2 linked regions of the Astyanax mexicanus genome follow. The protein of the gene in region 1 purifies or fractionates together with the protein of each later gene. This does not show direct contact. Links are inferred from orthologs where the notes say so. Each region holds a gene or a part of one and is shown on either strand. Other genes may lie near its edges.

Region 1 (10,283 bases):
CTTGGAGTGAAGGGTCCAGAGTACTTGGTTAGGCTCTTGTCAAAGAGATACACGATATAGCTGTCCCATCCTCTCTGGTTAATAAAAATGAACAATACAAAAAGTGCAGCATATCAGTTATAGAAGTCCAATTTATGTTTGAAGAAAGTTTAGATCATTCAGTAATTTTATAATCCACTTACAACTCCATCCAGGACACACTGTGCTGCAGGCTTCCTTGGATCTAGCATTACTCCCGTCTCCTGCAGGAGCTCCTGATTCAGGTGTTCGATTTTTGTCGTCGTCTCAATTCTCTGCTGAAGGGAGTGGAGGCCCTCCTCAGGGTTTAGCAGGAAAGAGTGAACCTCTGTTGTGGTCATGTTCAAGATGTGTACAACCTAAAACAACGGAACGTGCATCAGACATTAAGGCCCTCTGCTGGAGATCCTTCATAAAGCATTCTTCATCAGAGGCGGTGACTTTAAAAAGACCAACCTTCATGTTCAATATTTGCTCAAGAAGTGCAAAGCATTGTGGCTGTTTAGTGTCAGGGTTCATTGCACCTCCCCTTTGCACTGGGTCCCACTTCAGCATCAACTGCAGCAAACTCTCCAAAGGCTCCAAAAGAGTCCTAGAGAATGAAAAATCATTGAACATTTATTCTTTCTTAGATATGCTGAAACTCCTGGTCACTTAATGCAGATGAAAGACGTTTACCGTTTAGTGCAAAAAAACACACACTTTATTACCTGCTGAGATTATTGGGATAAGGGAGATGAGTGCTGAATCGGACTTCTCCATTCATATCCTCTACAGCCATGATGTCTTTTGGGCCTTTGTTACGCACTTTGCTTGTCCTACAAAACAAAATATTGTGCGTGTGAAATCATGTCTTATTGTATATGTTGAATACCATCCATTCTCTGTGATTTGCTTGTTTAACTATAATATTGGCAATGGCTATTATTAAAAGCCATTTAAACAGTATAGAGTTATTAATTTGGACATGATTTGAATCTCAGAACTTGTTAAGAGTGTGGCATAAAACTATACTAACTATATAACAAAAATAATTTATAAACATCTATGAATAGAGAATTACTATAATATAAGAGACCAGGCACATACCACTGCACAGGTTGTAGATTGTGTAGAAAAGGACGAAAACCACAGCTGCACTCAAAGATCATTGTGCCAAAGCTCCAGTAGTCAACTGTGACTGTATACGGCTTGCTTTCAAACAGCTCTGGTGCCTTAAATAATACAATAAATTAAAACAATTTAATAAAGTTGCCAAATTGCAATTTATTTTAGCGCTAGCACTCAAAATGTTATCAATACATATATAGTTCAGGTACAAAACATAAATTGCAAAAACACAAGAACTACCATTAAAACTTTGTAAATGTTTGTTACTGTTTAAGCAAGCAACACAGAAATTTAGTTTCTAACAATTTTCATTTCACAATAATTAGTCACAAGACTCACCAAATACTGAAGAGTTCCCACAAAAGATGTGCAAAGGCTACCTTGATCCAAATCTTTTGCATAGCCCAGATCTATAATCTTGTGTACTAACTAAAACAAGACAAACAAATTATACAAGTTAGCAAACTACTCATTTCAAACTGTAGTTTTTTTCACATATAAAATATCACATACCTTTCCATTAATCTCTTGAAGCACAATGTTCTCTGGTTTTAAGTCTCTGTGAATGATTTTGTTTGCATGGAGATACTGAATTCCTGAACCTGTTAATATAAAAAAACATTTTCAATAACAGTATTTTTGACACATCTGAGTAGAAATGGAAGCAAATACATAAGGATATTATCATAGAGGTGATACATTACCGACATCATTAAGAAGGGACAGCACCTCACTTTCTTTTAACCCACAGCAATTTTCAGGTTTGCTCAACAACTACAAAAAAAAAAAAAGAATGGTATGAGGAAATAAAGAAGAATGGAAAAAGGAAAGTCTTCTTCAAAGCAGGTGACAATTACATGACATGACAGACAGGGCAATTAAAATAAGCTAATGCTTGAGCACACCTTACGAAGATCTCCTCTGGAACAGTACTCCATGGCTAATAGAGGTAAGTCATTCAAGGCAATGTGTTTCATCTCTTCAGGTACATCCCGTGCTGTCACCACATTGATGTGGTTCAATCTAGAAAGAGTTAACCAAATATTAAACTTTGCATAAGAAATATATTCAATTTAGAAAGCAAATAAGTAATCAAATTCCTTATAAACTTACTTTTTCATGATCTGAATCTCTCGACTCCATCTGTCTTTGTTTTTTGCGTTGAGCTCAAGCCGGCAGAGTTTCACTGCAATTTTCTCAGCGGTTTCCTACATGAAATAAATATCATTAACTCAACAACATAAACATAATGTAGCTACATTATAGATGATTCAGACATTCCCTTCAAAATATTCTAATCACCCACTACTTCCAAAGCTCTTCACTTGGTCTATTAGGTAGGTACTTGGTGCAGACTTTCCCCACCTACAACCCTAAGCGGCCAAAAAACAAATTTGCTTTACCTGATGTTGGTAAAGATACACATGACCAAATCCTCCGGTTCCTAGCCTCTCCTTCATAGCCCAGGGTCCACATACTTGAGTCTGTTTGAAAGGTGGTTTGTCCATCTAAAGGGAAAAACACTTGTTACTTAGGCCTGTCATAATAATTGCATTATCTAATTGCACAATATGTAGACATGCATATGAACATAACCTCAATATGTTTACGGAATATAGCATGTATAATTGTTGAGCCTAAATGTATGTTATATAAACACTATGTATGTTCCTGTTCTAATCAATAGTACTGATAATTAAAACGTCATTGCCATTCAAAGGGTGGTAATGCATTATATGTGACAGAGTAATATTGTGCCTTTTATTTGCTGTGAAGCCTAAAGATTATTTTTTAGATTTATATGCTTGCACTTAAAATGATTCAGTACAAAAAAAGTCAAGTTAGGCAAGTTAGCTAAGCTACTGTTTACTAAATAGACAAAATAAGTTTACAGATTTGTTTTGTTTCTGCTATATGCTTAAAGATAATAACTACACTTTCATGAAATAAAACTTAAAGGATTCCAATATTTTGTTGCAGAAGTGATTTCTTGCAATATTATTTAACAAAATATTACTGTTTTTCATCATGCCAAGAATATCACTACCGGAAAAATACCCTAAAACGTCGCAATATTATTTTCCGGCATGTTTCACTTCAATTTCTGAATCAGTTTATCTGATTTTGCTATTTATAGGTATATTTGAGTAAAATGTAAACATTTAATTTCTGTTTTAAACTACGGACAACATTTCTTCCAAATTCCAAATAAAAATGTCATTTAGAGCATTTATTTGCAGAAAATGAGAAATGGCTGAAATAACAAAAATATGCAGAGCTTTCAGACCTACAAAAATGCAAAGAAAACAAGTTCATATTAATAAAGTTTTAAGAGTTTAGAAATCAATATTTGGTGGAATAACCCTAGTTTTTAATCACAGTTTTCATGCATCTTGGCATGTTCTCCTCCACCAGTCTTACACACTGCTTTTGGATAACTTTATGCCATTCCTGGTGCAAAAATTCAAGCAGTTCAGCTTGGTTTAATGGCTTGTGATCATTCATCTTCCTCTTGATTATATTCCAGAGGTTTTCAATTTGGTGAAATTAAAGAAACTCCTCATTTTTAAGTTGTCTGTTGTTTTTTCGAGAGCTGTATGTAGTTAGTATCTAGTTAGCTAAGTTACCTAGTGTTAGTGATTTAACCTAGGTTACCTCGCTAGTTAGCTAACTAACAGCCTGAGCGACAGCTCAACACACTTGTATGTTTTGTATTTAGTCAAGTGCTATAAACAGCGAATTAATAAATTAACTGGTTAACTTGTGGAGTAATATTTATTTCACTTAGCTAATTAGTTAGTTAACGCTAAGCCTGACACTTCATTATCACTTATAGCTAACCAACAAGCGCTAACGTTAGCTAGCTAACTAGCTTAGCTAGCCAAGTTATCTTACCGCTGCCCGGTCTGGTCTGATTCACCAATCTGTGTGGCTAGCTTGAAAGTAGCCTGTAATTTGTGATGTGAAGATAATGTGCCAGATGTGAAGATAATGGAATATGTCAGTTCGTAGAGAATAACGGCGACATCCATGTCATCCTTGCGAAGCCCCGTTAAAACGCAACGTTACTGCTATTAACGTTACTTGGTAAACAGCGAGCCAGCTAGCCGCGTTAGCGTTAGCCAGCTACACGTAAACAACTTGGGGTAATGCAGCAGTCAATTAGGTAACCGCAGCTAGCAGCGGAGCTAGCTCAGAAAAGTCAGCCTCACACCAGCACTTCTCCCTGAAACACCAAAACCGGCCCAGATAACAGCCGCTAAACAGCACTACGCTACAACACAAAGCTTAAAATCGAGATTTCTTCAACGACTAAAGGAACAAACGCTGTAGACCAGCGCCTCACATACAGCTAACAAACTGGCTAGCGCTAGCACTCGAAATCGAAACAAGCTTAGTGCGCAGGCGCGCTGCAGACTACCGAGTTGCCGTTTGAGCTGATCAGAGATCAGTCTCCTAACGCAAATCCCGCTCTTTACACATCGCCCATTGCTAACAGAACCGATATCAGGTCAGCAGTACAACCTGATCTATCCACAACAAGCCACGCCCAATCAGGGCACGCTCTGCTCATTAGACACGCCCACATCGACACACCCACTAAATAGACCCGCCCACTTCAAGGCGCCCACTTAAACTCTTCTATGTCTCCGTATTTATTATCCGTATAATAATAATAATAAAACTTCAAAATAACAATTTCTGCATAATAGGTCCAGTTACAGTAGCATCAGCTAAATTCTTAAGCCGTATTCTTATGTCATAGTAGATAATATATGGCTGTCATATATTTTAGGAATTATGATAACTTTGTGTTATCAGAAATAGTTGTTACATAAAAGTGATTCCTGTCATCCCATTCAAAGTGCACTAAAAAGCCACATTTGGTTGCGGTTGGTTTAGTAACAGCATACACCTGCTTTAACTCATTAAGGAACAATGAGAAAAAATACAGTATAGCACACATGACGTGACACTGAATTTGTGATAACAGTTGCATATACAGTACTTTTATTAAAGTAATGATGGCAGTCACAAAGAAAAGGGGGGTTATATTGTACTTACCGTTGTTGTCTGATCAAGGGCTTTTCAGTTCGTATCCTAGATCATTTAATTCAATTCAATTCAATTCAATTTTACACAATTGGAATTGCTCTTGAGGGTTGGTAGGTGGCACTCTTTCACCACGTCACTTCAGTTGTAATTTTCATCAGCACAGACAGCTGTTGGCAGATGTATTAGATCTGGGGAGCTGCTGGTTACCCAGTAATGCTCCATCAATGAAGTCCAGACAGAGGCTGTGTCTGACTTTACATGTGTCAGAGGAGGCATGTGATAGTCTTCACTCTCCTAGTGCTGGGGGCATTGCTTGTGATAGGGGAGTTTACATGAACATGGATTGTGTAATTGGCCTTCCAAATTGGGAATAAAATATATTTCACTAAACTCTTTAGTAAGATCTGTACTACTATTACTAGTTTTTATATAAACAGCCAAAATCACCAATTACAAACAATGGCCTCTTTGGACCATCTTGTAACTTCTTAAGAACCTGCTTCATCCATAAATAGATCACAGCACAGCACTTGAAACTGTGGTAGTGGGTAAGATTTTAGTTTGCTTTTTTGAATCTATAAATACTGTATACAATGGTGTAAAATATTTGTTGCCCCCTCATGATATTTTTTGGCATGTTTGTCACTCTTAAATGTTTCAGATCATTAAACAAATTGAAATATTATTCAAAGACAACACAAGTAAACAGAAAATGCAGTTTTTAAATTAAAGGTTTTTATTATTAATAAGGGAGAATAAAATCCAAACCTACATGTGAAAAAGTATCTAAGTTTTGAGTTCATATGTACATAGTATGAGAAATGTAATTTGAGAGCCTGCTATTTTTTGTTAGGTTTTGTAAGTGTGTAACTTTACAAATTCAAACTACAGTGATATTTAGTTTTAACTTCATCAGATCATTCCGCTGCACCAAAATCATCAGGCTGATGCTTTGTTACAAAACTGCAGTTAAGGTTTCTTAATAATAATAATAAACTCGGTATGTACTTTTAAGCACAAGCTTGTATTGCCAAACATTTCCTGTAAGCAGCATCTTAACACCCAGAGTGTGTATATTTGGCCTTCTAGTAAACAAGAGGTGAATAAGTCAAAAGGAAACCACCCTTTTATCTGTCTTCCAGGAATATATTCTATTCAGGGCTTTTTATATATATATATATTGCATGCTGATATATTTATGTATAAGATATGTTAATCTGCAAAGAATGGCTATTATAAAGAGTGGCCATTAAACCCTTTATATTTCTGATGCTAACAGAGATTGTATTAATGAGGTGACCGGCCACTGGTAGATTTCTCGTAATGCTTATCGTGGTATCTGTTGATGGATGAAGCCCTACCCTTCAACAAAAAGAGCTAATCAGCTTGCTGATCAAAGGAGGGCCAGTGTTTTAATGGGAAAGTTCTCCTCAATGTGGAGATCTGTGCAAGCGCAGTAGCTGGAACAAGCCGAAAAATCACTTTTTTCAATGTACATGTTTTGACATCAGCTTTTCAAAACAATGCTGATCTCTGGCCAGCTGTTCAGATGAGCATATTTGTTGCGGTGCGGAGGCAATAACACATTATACAGCTGCTCCTCAAAACTTTCTATCCTGTCTAACCTGTATGAACAAAACACCAAACGAACAAACGAATGCAGGATACATGAGGCAGACATCAAGCATATGCAACATTAATATTAACAGTAACAGTAACATTACCATTAACAGTAATATTAGGTGTAAGGCTAACAACTAATTAAGTCACTATGGCCATTTTATACAAATAACAACAGATTACAGAGTAGACAGAGTGTCTGAACAATTAACAAGCCGAATGCTACAACTCAGCTAATGCATGTAATGAATAGTACAGTCCTGCAAATGGTCTGTTTTAGCCAATGCAGTCAATCATTTCAGTCCTTAGCATAAACTTGTCTGAGCTAAATAAGGTAAAAAAAAATAATTTCTGGAAGAAAATGATAGAAAATGAGTCAATTTTAGCACAATGAACAGAACTAAATCGTTTTTTCTATATACATTCATCGGCACTCATGAAAAACATTTTGTTCTTAAAATATTTTTTCATTGTCCAGAGAAATATTTCAAGTGTGAGAAAATTATGTAGCCTCCCTTTTCTCTCTATTCGAATTTCTCTGAAAGTGGTGCAGGTGTGATGTGTTAGACAGGAAAAACGGAATTGCTGTGAATTCGCAGTGTGACAGCCTCCCAATGATTCATGCACACAACAGCTGTGTCACACAGCAGCTGCAGCTCTGTGTGTGTATGTGTGTTATAATTCCCCTTTTTAGATTTTAATAAATACAGTACTTTAACTTGTAGATGGCAGTAGAGGAAAATACAAAACACACTGAATATAAAACTGAAATCAACAAGCAGCCACAAAACAAACTCCATTTCGTAATTCAGTATTTCTAAAAACATTTACATTGCAACATGCAACAGACAAGTGCAGATTAAGAAATGTTGTATTATAGGTAAATGTAGAATGTCTTTTGATACAATTAAAGAGAAAATCAAACTGTTTTTGCTGCTAAGTCCAATCAAAAAGGATGACAAAACTGTCATTATATTATATTGTATGTATTGGGTCGCTTCAGATGACCAAGATTGAGTTTAATAATAAAACAAATCAACATATATAGTATAGTATAGACAACATATCCAAATACAGTATATTATGTGTATAACATATATAGTAAATAGATACTGTGAATACATACATATATTTTGTATTATAGTGCTAACAACTGAAACCCATAAATAAAAAACCTCCAACCGGATCTATGTTAGACATTGTATTGCACATTCCCCCAACCACTGAATTGCACTGTACAGACAGTATTGCGCAGTTTCCTCAGAGTCTGGCTTTTATATCTTTTTTTAACTGAAGTCGGTACAAACCTGCTTTTAGGATGGTTAGGTTTAAACCTGAGTGCTTCTTACCTACATACCTAACTCTGTTCAAGAGAATATGAGCTGAATACACAGTAACATTGTTTATATTACATAACATTACATTACATTATGTTTGGCAGACTCTTTTGTCCAAAGTGACTTGCAATAGTGATGTACATTTAGCAATAGAGGACATAGAAGTCCAGACAGACAGATAGACAGACGGACGGACGGAAGGACGGACGGACGGACGGACGGACGGACGGACGGACGGACGGACGGACGGACGGACGGACAGACAGACAGACAGACAGATAGATAGATAGATAGATAGATAGATAGATAGATAGATAGATAGATAGATAGATAGATAGATAGATAGATAGATACTTTATTGATGCCTGAGGGGAAACTTTGGACATCCAGCAGCAGGTATACATAGTACACAAGTTACAAGAGAAGGATAAGATAAAACAATACATATAAAAAATCAATAAAATATAAAGTATAAAAGAACAGGAAAGCGAATAAGGAAATGAGATTAGAGGTAGTTAGCTTGTTGGGGGTTTTAGGAGAGTAGGTGCTCTTTGAAGAGCTCTGTTTTCAGGAGTTTCTTAAAGATTCTTAAAGCAAGAAATTCTCCTCTTCTGGCATTAAAAGGTAGTTTGTTCTACCATTGGGAAACTATGATTGCTTTGTGTGAATGTATGGCGGTGTGAGAGAACTAGGTGGGTTTAGAAATAAGGAATAAAGCAGAAGGTTGTTACAAAGATTGTTACAAAAGCAGTGATTCTTAACCATCAGTTCTTGGGGCCCACCAGCCAGTTCCACATATTTACACATAAGCAAAGATGTAACCTTTAAATGGGCCCCAAGCCAGGCTTGAGAAACATTAAAGTTTGGATTAAGCATTTAAATCAGCTGGATTTGAAAACACATTTTACAGATATTGAAACCATGGCCTTGAACACACACTCTTACATTAGTGAATCTGGGTAGTGGGAGCACACACACACGGAATGATGGGCAACCACCTCCACAGCCACAGGAGTCAGGTGCTTTGCTTATGGGCACATAGGTGGTGTCAATGGTTAAAGAGCTGGGGTTCGATACCTGGACTTGGCAAGGTGCCACCATTGGGTTTTCATCCCACACTGTCACATGTTAACATATGGGTAGCTCACTCTGCGTTCACACTGGAAACAACAACACAACAGGTGACCATTCATTTCCTATGGCAGGGCGCGATTTGTCGCCGTGACAAACAAGAGGCGACAAGCGATAAATGTTTTTCAACTTTATGCAAATGAATTATGACGCTGTGAATGCTGTGGCAGTCAAACCTGATTGGCTTCTAGCATTTCTTTGGACCAATCACACACAAGGCGGTCCGAGGTCCTCAAGCTTCTGCTCTCTGAACTTTTGGTTCCTTTCGCATTCGCATTCACCCTGTCTTATTAAAATCTATTTATTTTGAACAATTTTTGTGATTTTAATGTAGTTAACAAATATTTCTTTAGGGCCGTTGAAGCAATACAACATTTTGTGCCTTTTTTCTTGTCAGAAGCTGGACCATGATACACACGCGCACTGAGCTTTGACATGTCCAAAAGCAGCAAACGCGGGGCAACACCAGCGATTTGTCGCATTCTAGTGGGAACGCAGGGTTAGACTACTCTCAGTCAAAGTTTTAAATAAATTTAAAGGGTTGATGGACATTCGATACCAAAACTTGCTAATCCATCCCAATTAGTTAGACACTTCAACAATAAAGAGGTGAGGTAGAGATTATTGAAATCAGTGGCAAGTAGAACATTTTTAACAAATATAAAATGCCTGCATATAACAGGAGATGGTGTGGCATGAAGCAGTTGAGCAATGAACTTGAAACAGCAGGACAAAGACCTGTTTAACTTAAATAAATATCTTTTTTGCTGTCTTTAATGGAAACATCATAACAGTTGCGCACTGTTTTTTTCTTATAAGCTTTGATGATTTAAACATTTCCATCCACAATCATACCAAAAGTAAACCAGCAACAAATATACTATCTATACTATCTATGTAGGTGTTTTTGGTCACACATCAACACCAATGATGTGTTAATGCTGCCTACATGGTCTACAAGTAACTCAGTTAAGAGAGAATAGAAATATGACACACACAAAACAAACCAAA
Region 2 (10,320 bases), about 35 Mb from region 1:
TTATTTATTTGTATTTATTTATTACTATTTATGTTTTTATTTAAATTTATTTATTTTAGTACATTATTATTCATTTTATAATTTCTTATTATTCTTATAATTTTACTTTTATTACTACTGTTACCTTTTTCTTTATTTTATTTTTTTATTTTATTTTTTTTTTATGTGTCAATTTGTTTTTATGGCCTTTTAGAATTTTCTATTTTTTTCCTTATACATATATATTTTATTATATCTATGGTAAATATTGATACAATTAGTATTTAGTAGTAAATTAGTAAATTATTTTTTTTACTATTTTGTTCCTTATTACTTCTAATTTCTTATTAAACGTTCTCAATCCCTTTTGTACTGTAAATGCTCAGCAACATTATAAATAAGGGCTACCCTCAATGTAATCCCGAGTAAAAAAAAAACTAAAATACACCTGTGTTCATTTATAACTCCGCCCCCTCGTTACCAGTCCCCAGGTGTTTCCTGTTTCTGTTTTTTCTGTCTACTTCCATGTGTATATTTATAGCCCCTTTGTTTCTGTGTTCTTTTGTTGGTTCTTGTATGTGTTTACGTCTGTTAAGAGGTGCTGATCGTGTGTTTCTTGTTCTAGTTTATTTCTTGTTTTTTAGTATATTCCTGTATGTTAGTTTATTTGCTTTCGTGCTTATTTGGTTTCTGTTTTTGTTATTAAAAATTACTCGCATTTGCATCCACTGACGACATCTACTTACTGTGCAACCCTCACAACACTACAGAATTTTAGGACATTTTTACAGTCACCAGTAAAAAAAAAACTCTGCTTGGAGGCAAAACTATTATTTGTATACCTTTTAAAAAAAGATTGATTGTATTTTAAAAAGTATCTTGTGAAATTACGTATTTTATTCTTTTAAATAATCCAAGATTAAAACACATTATGTCCTACACTATACACAAATACATCAAATTTATTTCTATTACATTATTCTGTCATACTACTTCAGTTCATGTGTAAATCTAAGAATGTCAGTTTCACTCCAGTAAATGAAGAGTGTGATTTGTGAATACTCACTCAGGATTGTGGGCGGGTCCTCTTTTGTCTACCAGTTTAAAGTCCCAGGCTTGACCACTTTTCTGACAGTAGTGGTTCAGTAAACCTTTAAAATTATTATCTAATCCAGAGCTCTCAGAAAGGCTGTGGCTCAGGGATAGACCAGTCAGGGAGTAGCTAAGAGAAAACAAAATAAACAGGATTATTCAGGTTTTCACAGAGTTTAAATCAGTGTTACGTAATTAAACATATGGAACAACTGTAAGATGATTCCTGATTCATGTTTCTTTTTTTCCGCAAAAGTTAATAGTTAATTTAAATAAAAAAATTAAGTTAAAAATTTCAGTTTTTAGGTCCAGGTCTGTACACTGTAATACTGGTGTTTAAAAGTAAAAAATCATTACTTACCCGAGATCTGACATGCTCGGTTGTTGTGTCTCGTTTGTCCTTTCACCGGGAACCTTCAATATAAATTATTGTTAAAATCACAATCATAACTTTGAAGTAGTTTAAAGTTTAAATAAACTAGAAATATTAAGACACACAGTTTCATTAAATACATTTACATGAACACTAAGCATTAACTATTAACACTGTCGAAAAAAATTAAAAAGTGCTATACATAAAAAAAGTAAGTAGCGGTATCAGAATGAGGTGGTCATAATAATCTGGCAATACAGAAATCTAAAATCATCTGAGTTTTAATTACAATGTTTTATTAAACCAAATGTTTGGAGGTGATTACTAACATTCGTTAGCTTGTGGCTAATAAGCACTTAAATCCTCATAGACTGGCTAGCAGAAATTAGCATTACTACAGCGATGGTCAAAATAAGATGAGAATTGACTGAAAGCTGAGTGTTTTATTTTTGACTTGATGGATTTTTTCTGGTTATTTAGAGTTACGACTATTACATGTTCTGCTTCTCATATTTCACACTCATATGACCATTAAATATTTGGCAGGTCATACAGGGATTGTAATTATTGGGACTGGGACAAGGATTGACTGATTTGCCTATTGTGATGTACCTAAATTCTTATTTATTAAGCTACATTAGCCGTGCATATAGCATTTTGAAATGTGATAAAAGTTTTAAAACACAAATGTAATGTATTTTTCTTTTTTTTTTTTACAATTTCAGTTTGTAACACTTTATAACACTTACAAAAACAGTAAGTGACTGACCTCAGCGTTATTCTCCCCATTAATTGCTTTATACACGAGTTTAGCCGCCTCCTCCTTCGCATCCCGCTTTACTCTGCAGACGGCTGTCGGATATTCTTTATCACCACAAACAAACTTACAGGCATACTGTATTCTGAAAAGAAAAATCACATAAATAATATTAAATACCGCCTCATTATAAGTAGGTTTAATTTAATTTGAGGTGTTTAGATACTTGCTGATTGTTGGAGTCCAGCGGCATCGACTCGACGAACTTAAAATTTAATCTCATCTTCTGACCGTATTCATTCAGCCAGCAGGTAAAGTTGGCTTGAGTCAGCTTTGGTAAACCATCGAGTGAGCAGGGACTGGTTACCTGTAGATGTAAATATATATATATATATATATATGCATATATTTATGTATTCATGTTTACATTACATTACATTACATTACATTACATTTAGCAGACGCTTTTGTCCAAAGCGACTTACAATAATCAAGTACAATGTAAAATAAGTTTAAAGGTAAAACATCTTTGGATAGGGATAAAAGGAGGACAAAGGGGAATAATAGGATAGAGGAGTGAAGGAGGGGAAGAAGGAAATGAGGTTAGAAGTAGTTAGTGTGTTAGAGGTGTTAGGAGAGTAAGTGCTCTTTGAAGAGCTCTGTCTTCAGGAGTTTATTAAAGATAGCGAGAGATTCTCCTGATCTGGTAGTGGAGGGTAGTTTGTTCCACCATTGTCTTTTTCAGGTGCAGATTTTCTCAACTAACCACCACTTTTGCTGTACTAGCTGGCTCCTCCTCCTGTATGAGACTGAGGGCATTCTTAGCAGCATTTTGCCTAGCTTCTTTCTTGTTGCGTCCGACGCCTTCAGGATAGGGTTTATTATTCACCACCGCCCTCACGGTGAATCTGAAAATTACATTAAAAAAATATATATATATTACTGTTTTAAAGGTTAAACATTTTAAAGCATTATACTTAAAGTTTATTTTCTATAGGGTGATCCAAACAGGTTCAACAGTAGCAGGGATATTAAAAAATACCAATAATAATAATAAAAAAAACGAATTTAATCATAAATATTACAAACATAGATGAGGAGTTTTATGGATTTTTGTTGTTGTTTAGTACGTATGTCAAATGCATTTCTTTAGAATGTAAAAACTGTAAAATTGTACAAATTAAAAAAAAAATCCTATGCCTTGATAGTGATAAAATGTCTCCATATAATCGCATTTTGACAAAGATTTAAATTATTTAAAAGATTTAAATTAAAATGAAATCAAAATCAAATCAGATTTATTGTCACATCACAAAAGTACAGATGTACAGGTGAGTGAAAAACTTGGGTGCAAGTTCCACTGATATGCAGAGACCTATATTTACAACATAGAGTAGAATAAGTAAAATAAAATAGAAAATACACATAGCAACATTACCGATTAATACAAAAATAGTTATTGTAACAAAATAATAAATTATAAAAATACTGCCACATCATAGAATTGAGGACTGGGACTTAAAAATATTACTATCTATAGAACTGCACCAACAATTAAAATATACAAATATGTAGTTTACAAATACAAAGTAGCAGATAAAACCATAAATATATCCTGTAGTTGTTCAATGTGAAGGGAAATCTAATGTCAATTTCTACAGAGAGTAAAAACAGCTGCTTCATCCGGGCTACAGTTCACCTGTACAGGTGTACAATAAGCTACAGTTAAGTTCAGGAATCAGGTGGACTCACATTTTGCTGTGATCTGGACCCTTAGTGTCCACATCCTCAAACCTGTAGGTCAGGCCAGTCTTCTGAGTGCGCTCATTCAGCAAAGCAATGTAATTACTGCTAGATGCCATTAATAAATCAATCAAAATAATCAATATAATCAATAAAATCAATAAAATCCAAACAGTCCAATCAGCAGCACAGAGTGAAAAAACACCAGAGATCAGTTAGTTTAAAGGAAACATAAATACTTTTTAATAAAATAATAAAACGCTGTAAAAAAGCTCCTGTGATCAGAGCTGAGCTCCGGCTGTCGCTCCTGATCTACAGAAACCTGCATAAGTTTCGTTTCTGATCAAAAACCTTCCCCTGCACGAGCCCGACTTCACACAGCCGACCAATAGAATCCGCCCGACGCGGGTCGCGTGTTACAGAGGGCGGAACTAGAGGAACACAGCAGCGGTTTCCAGCCGAGCCCCACGATGCAACGTTTTTTTTTTTTTCAAAATAAAAGTCCGATCTCGCCACTAATAACAGCGAGTGCAGCTCAAAAAATTAGAAATATGCTTGAAAAGTTACGTTATTTCAGTAATTCAGTTTAAAATGTGAAACTCATATATTACATGGATGTATTACACACAGAGTGATCTATTTTAAGCGTTAATAATCTTGTATTATATAACAATTATTGTTGATGATTATAGCTTACAGCCAATGAAAACCCAAAAATCAGTGTCTCAGAAAATTAGAATATTATATTAGACCAATTGGTACTTTTGGAGCAGTGTGGGCAATGTGCCAAGTCCTGCTGGAAAAAGAAATCCACATTTCCTGTAAAGTTGTCAGCAGAGGGGAACATTGTGTTGTAAGATTTTGCAGGAAATTAAAACTGCACTGATTTTAGACTTGATGAAACACAGTGGACCAACACCAGCAGATAACATGGATCTCTATTTCAGCAAACAATATACAACCTTTACTATACACAATAAATATACACAATAAACATGCTTCAAAATGTATAGTAACGTCAACTGAAAAATAAACATTTCCTCCCAAATTCTTACATTATTCCATCAGAATGTGATTTTTCACCTTTCAACAAACCAGACACACAATCAAAATATTTTTTAGAATTTATTACAAATAAATATTATTTGAATATCAAGACAAAGACAAAATTCTTCAGAACAAATTGAAAGAAGATAATGAAAACTAAAATTATACGACAGATGTGCCAGACGAAGCCTGTTGATTTAATCATTATGGTCTGCTGCCGTATCTCCAGGACAATTTGAGCTTAAATCCTCTTCATCTATAAAGCAAGAAACAATGTCTGATCATTATTTTAAAAAGCGATCAAACATTTATTATGATACAATCTTGTTTTTTTAGAAAAGATAAAATAAAAAAATGAACAAAAATGATTTTTTTATTTTTTGTGTACCATTGTATGCCGTTCCACACCATATGCAGTAGAAATGCACGTCCCGCAGGTACGAGGTGATATACTGCAGCTTCTCCAACGACTGAAACCATAAAGAAACAACACTGTTATCATATGTAAGCTGAATATTAATCATATTTATACTTCTTAAGTCAGCATGTTTATTTTTTTTTACCGTCATCTCCTCTTCATCACTCTCCTCATCACTGGACTCTTCAGGATGCTCTGCCTCCTCAGTGATCACTTCAGGCCAATACCAGACATCCTTCGGTGCGACTTTACCCTAAAACAGAAAAACAGGCATCACTGAGGCTGCGTGTGAACAGAATAAAATCGTTTTTTGTTTGTTTTTATTCTGATTTGGGCCACTTTCATATGTGGTTCTAAAATCAGACATGTGTCGTATTAGGGGCAATGCAACAATTTGTAATTCATACGATAAGTATTGGAAATGGACAACAGCAGTGAGGGAGGGTTTCAGTTGTGGGTGGGGTAGTGAAATAAATTATAAAGCTTGGGCTGCAACCACTTAGTGTTTCTATTAAAACAACTGAATCTGGACACTGGAGGCTGCGGCTACAGCGTCAAAGGTCAAAATCTTACTCACACATATAAAGAAGCTGATCAGATCTGATCATCAGATTATTAATTTTTTTTAACCTGCTGGGTGTCGAGTTGTTGACAGGCCCGCTGGCTCCGCCTCAGATCCGCCTCTGCCTGCTGCTTCTCTTTCTCCGACCTCTTACGATCTCTGTGTTGTAAACAGGTCTAGATTTAGTTATTTAAACACAAACACAAACTAGGGGTTGCACAACTAAAACAGTATTTTTTTTGTCTTGTAGAACTAAAAACAGTATTTTTTTTGTCAAAATGCACTCTAGAGGTTGCAATTTTTAGTTTTTAGTTTTTTTTTTAGTGTCGTCTAATGCTAATATAATCAATCAGCTATAGACGCCTCTACATTACTCTTGCAAATATTTACAATAAGAGTATATTAACAACAAAATGTTTCAACTAATTATTACCACACACTAGTTAAGATATTAATAATAGTTATTATGAATTACCTATTTAACTAATGTCTCAATTCATTATTATTTATAACATTTAAAATGTAAATAATGAAGTAAAAAACACAGCACCTTACTGTACACACAATATACTGAAACATAAATAACATGGTTAAAAACAGATCTAACTTATGCTGAACACTCCTGACCACATGCACCTCCCAAATACCGGTGCTCACCTGAAATCCTCCAGGTTTCGTTTCTCCATCTGTTTTCTGATCTGGACTTTTTTGCGGTGATGTTCCAGTTCCTCCGCAGCCTTCCGCTTCTTCAGCTCCTCCAATCCGATCCCACCTCTGTCTAATAAACACAAACATCAGGACCTTCCAGTCTAGAACATTTTAGATCAGACCCGTAACTCAGACACACCTCCTACCTGTTTTAATGTTGAGTGGAATCGGATCAACTCGCCCAGAACCTGCAACATAATAACATCTATTAATAATAATTAACTATTAGAGCACGGATGAACTGACCAACCAAAACACAGTTAACAACCATGTAAAATACATCTGCAAACACAATATTCTGCCTATAGATGGGGCTGATCAACCAGTAATTATTATGAATCTCTGTAAAGAGAGAAAATTGAACCTAATGTGTGCTGCCTACTGTTAAAGGCCTAAGCTTTATAGGGTGTAAGTCTTCATCAAATAAATACAATTGTAAAAAATAAAAATAAATAAATAAAATAAAATAAAATGTGGGTACACACGAGCTGTCATTGCAAATGATCAGTCACATGACTCCTCAACTGACCACTTTTAGATTAGATTCAGGGAAGCAATTCAAAGTTTTTGGACAATGTTAATACAAAATTAATGTCAATGTTTCTGATAAAAAAAAAATATGGATATGTTCATGAAGCTTAGTTATGAAAAATGCAATTTGGTCTTATATATATCTATATTTTATTTCACTCACACTTTTATAATCTGTCTAAAGGAAATATGCTTCAGTCTGATGTAGCATTGCCGAGTAGCATCACAGCGCTAACGTTTGGAGGAAAGCGCTGCGACTCGGTTCTGATACATCAGCTCACAGATGCAGTCTTGTGCTGATCCACATCACCCTAGGAGTGATGAGGAGAAAGAGCGCCATCTACTGTACCCACCCAGAGAGAGCAAGGCCAATTGTGCTCTCTCGGGGCTCCGGCAGCTGATGACAAGCTACATGACCGGGATTTAAACCAGCCATCTCCTGATAATAATGGCAGTGCTTTAGACTACTGGACCACTCTGAGCCCATCGATCTCCTTAATGTGACTGTGAATGTGATGTCAGATGTTTTTGCGTTGCTGACCCTCTCTCCCAAGTCCCTGTCCGGCCTTATAGCCCATCTTCTGTAACAGAGCAAAGCCCTTGTTCTCGGTGCTGATGGAGCTCTGCAGCGCCTCCTGCCGCTGCTCCAGCTCCTGCTGTTTGATGCTTTTCTGTCGATTCTCTACACATTTTTCTTTATGGAGATCCTCTCTCTTCCGAGCCGCCTTCTCCCGTTTCACCATCGGCACGCCGGGCCTGACGTCCAGCCTGGCTCACAAATCAGAACCATGTTACATCATTAGAATATATCTGCTTTAATTACATCATCAGAATATAACTCTGCTATAATTACATCATTGCAACATAGATCTGATTTAATTACATCATTACAATATATGTGCTATAATTACATCATCACAATACAGATCTCCCTTAATTACATCAATTACATCACAATATATCTGCTATCTGCAGCAGACAGTAATAAGTCTGTGCACAGTAATACCACATATTCATAACTGCATTTTTATGCAGTGTATAAATCCTGTATTTGAACTAAAGTAAAGATAGGGAAGGTAAAATATTACTGCAGTAAAAGGAAAAATTCTACATTGAGACAAAAGTATTTTGATGTCTGTTAAAATGATCATAAACATTAAGAAAAAAACTATTTCCATTAAATAGAATCAACTGGCTAAAAGTAACTTTGTTAGGTACGATATAATAAAATATATAATATAATATAATATAATAAATATATAATAAATATAATATAATAAAGTACGATATAATAAAATCACGCTGTACACGCTAATGAGTTATCTTTTCGTATCATGCATAATACAAAATATGTTCAACATTTTGCATTATACAGTTTAATATAGTTAAATATTAGAGTTATTACTGAGGGTGCTAATGTTTACTGTTAGCCTGTTAGCTTCTCACTAATCCTGATCTGAGCGTACTAGTCCTAAATTACTATTTGGCAGGGATTAAAACGCGGATTAACTGCAGATTATTCTCAACACTTACTGTGGGTTCAGAAAAGCATCAGACATATAATCCTCTTCATCTGAAGACATTTTTTTATTAACAAATACAGCAGCTTGTGGAACAGCAGTGAAGCAAGCGAAGACTACAGACTGACTCAGAGCAACATTTCAAAATAAAAGACCATGACCGTAACAGAGTAGCAAAGTATAGCAAAGTAACAGCTTATTTTTTACTAATTTGCTGTAATTTAGAACACTTTTAAATAATGTTTTTACTGTTTTTGGTTTGGTTTTATGAAATAGAAAAGGTCAATATGAAATATAAAATATTACACACAGTCTTCCAGTGGAATTATAAATTTAATATAAATATATATATCTTGTTTGTGCGTTACAGACGCACTAGAGATCATTTTTAATCACTAGAGATAATTCAGGTCTGAAATGTTTAAGAGTTTGCAAGATCTAGCAATAGAAAATTTCTTCTGGGAGAATGAGTGCATACCTTTTTATCATTTATCATGAGTGGTTTTCTGGGTTCTATTGGGTTCAGCTGCATTTATAATTTATCTGTGGGTTAGTATGGGTTTGGAATGGTACGAAACAGTGTATAATTTATTGAGTATATTTTGTATAGTTTTAACGAGTAACAGTGCAACACATACTAATACTCCAGTAGAGTAAATATACAGCATTTTAGTACTTATTTACAGTAGTGAATTAGTTCATTTTAATTTAACTGTGATCCTCCTACATGGGTCAAGACTGCATTAAAACGCTCCTACAATGTTTCTAAAGCCAAAAAGAAGTGATTCTTTATGGGCTTTGCAGTATATTTGTTTTTTACTCAATTTTCACCTCAGTTTAGCTGAAACAATTAACCCACCCACTCACTAGGATTTCACCAACACTACAGTGCTCAGACACTAGGGGGTCACACATGTGAAATTAGACTCCGCCCCTTTTCCAGCTGCCACCAATACAGCATCACTAGGCAGCTGACACTCAGAGGAAAGTGCCGAATTGCCAGCTCAGATACCATCAGCCTACAGGCATAGCATCACAATGGGAGCAGTGATGGGAGATTGTTTTCTCTTGGACTCTGGCTACTGATGGTGAAGTAGCATGACCTACTGCACTCTCTCTCTCTCTGAATCTGGCTGCTGATGGTGAATTACAAATAACGTTTTCTAGCCATTTTGTGGAAACGTAATGAATTCAATAATCTCTGCAAATTAATACAACATAAAAATTAACCTAGTGGCACATTTCTGCAACATTCAGCACTCAGAACTTAAAACATTGTATAAAAGGGTTTTACTCGTTTCTCACATTCAGTAGTAATGATCACCCTGAGCTGCTGTGAGTGTTTGGAAAGGTTTATTAAAGTACATTTCGGGCCTGTGAGGTAAAGTTCATGTCTTGGCTGGAGACTCAGTGGGGAAGCTCATGATGGACCAGTTTATAGTGTGCTCCACAGGAAGGACAGCGCTGAGAGTTTCCCTCATGGAGCCAAAACCAGACGATAGCAGTGTTATCCTCCTCACCTGCAAAAACAACAATAAAAATAAATGTTTACTCCAGCCTGGTAGTAAACTCCTACCTGTTTAAATACTA

The links. The genes of interacting proteins can lie anywhere in the genome.
Region 2: the proteins of chuk (region 1) and eif2ak2 purify together in Homo sapiens (affinity purification with western blotting; 3 studies listed by BioGRID). This does not show direct contact. The link is inferred for Astyanax mexicanus from reciprocal best matches to the Homo sapiens genes CHUK and EIF2AK2.

Annotation. Positions count from the first base shown.
Region 1 is NC_064414.1:37,824,890-37,835,172, forward strand, and holds the start of chuk (inhibitor of nuclear factor kappa-B kinase subunit alpha), read right to left. Parts: upstream 4,536-10,283; 5' UTR 4,024-4,535; intron 2,637-4,023; coding exon 2,532-2,636; intron 2,337-2,531; coding exon 2,242-2,336; intron 2,152-2,241; coding exon 2,034-2,151; intron 1,903-2,033; coding exon 1,833-1,902; intron 1,731-1,832; coding exon 1,642-1,730; intron 1,558-1,641; coding exon 1,468-1,557; intron 1,233-1,467; coding exon 1,108-1,232; intron 837-1,107; coding exon 729-836; intron 611-728; coding exon 475-610; intron 378-474; coding exon 183-377; intron 75-182; coding exon 1-74.
Region 2 is NC_064414.1:2,503,648-2,513,967, forward strand, and holds the start of eif2ak2 (interferon-induced, double-stranded RNA-activated protein kinase), read right to left. Parts: upstream 4,362-10,320; 5' UTR 4,064-4,361; coding exon 3,954-4,063; intron 3,110-3,953; coding exon 2,968-3,109; intron 2,569-2,967; coding exon 2,432-2,568; intron 2,347-2,431; coding exon 2,214-2,346; intron 1,486-2,213; coding exon 1,433-1,485; intron 1,202-1,432; coding exon 1,046-1,201; intron 1-1,045. Other genes in the region: gpatch11 (G patch domain-containing protein 11), read right to left, coding at 5,189-5,247, 5,380-5,461, 5,555-5,662, 6,040-6,130, 6,629-6,749, 6,826-6,867, 7,752-7,978, 8,744-8,793; cytochrome c oxidase subunit 5B, mitochondrial, read right to left, coding at 10,138-10,250.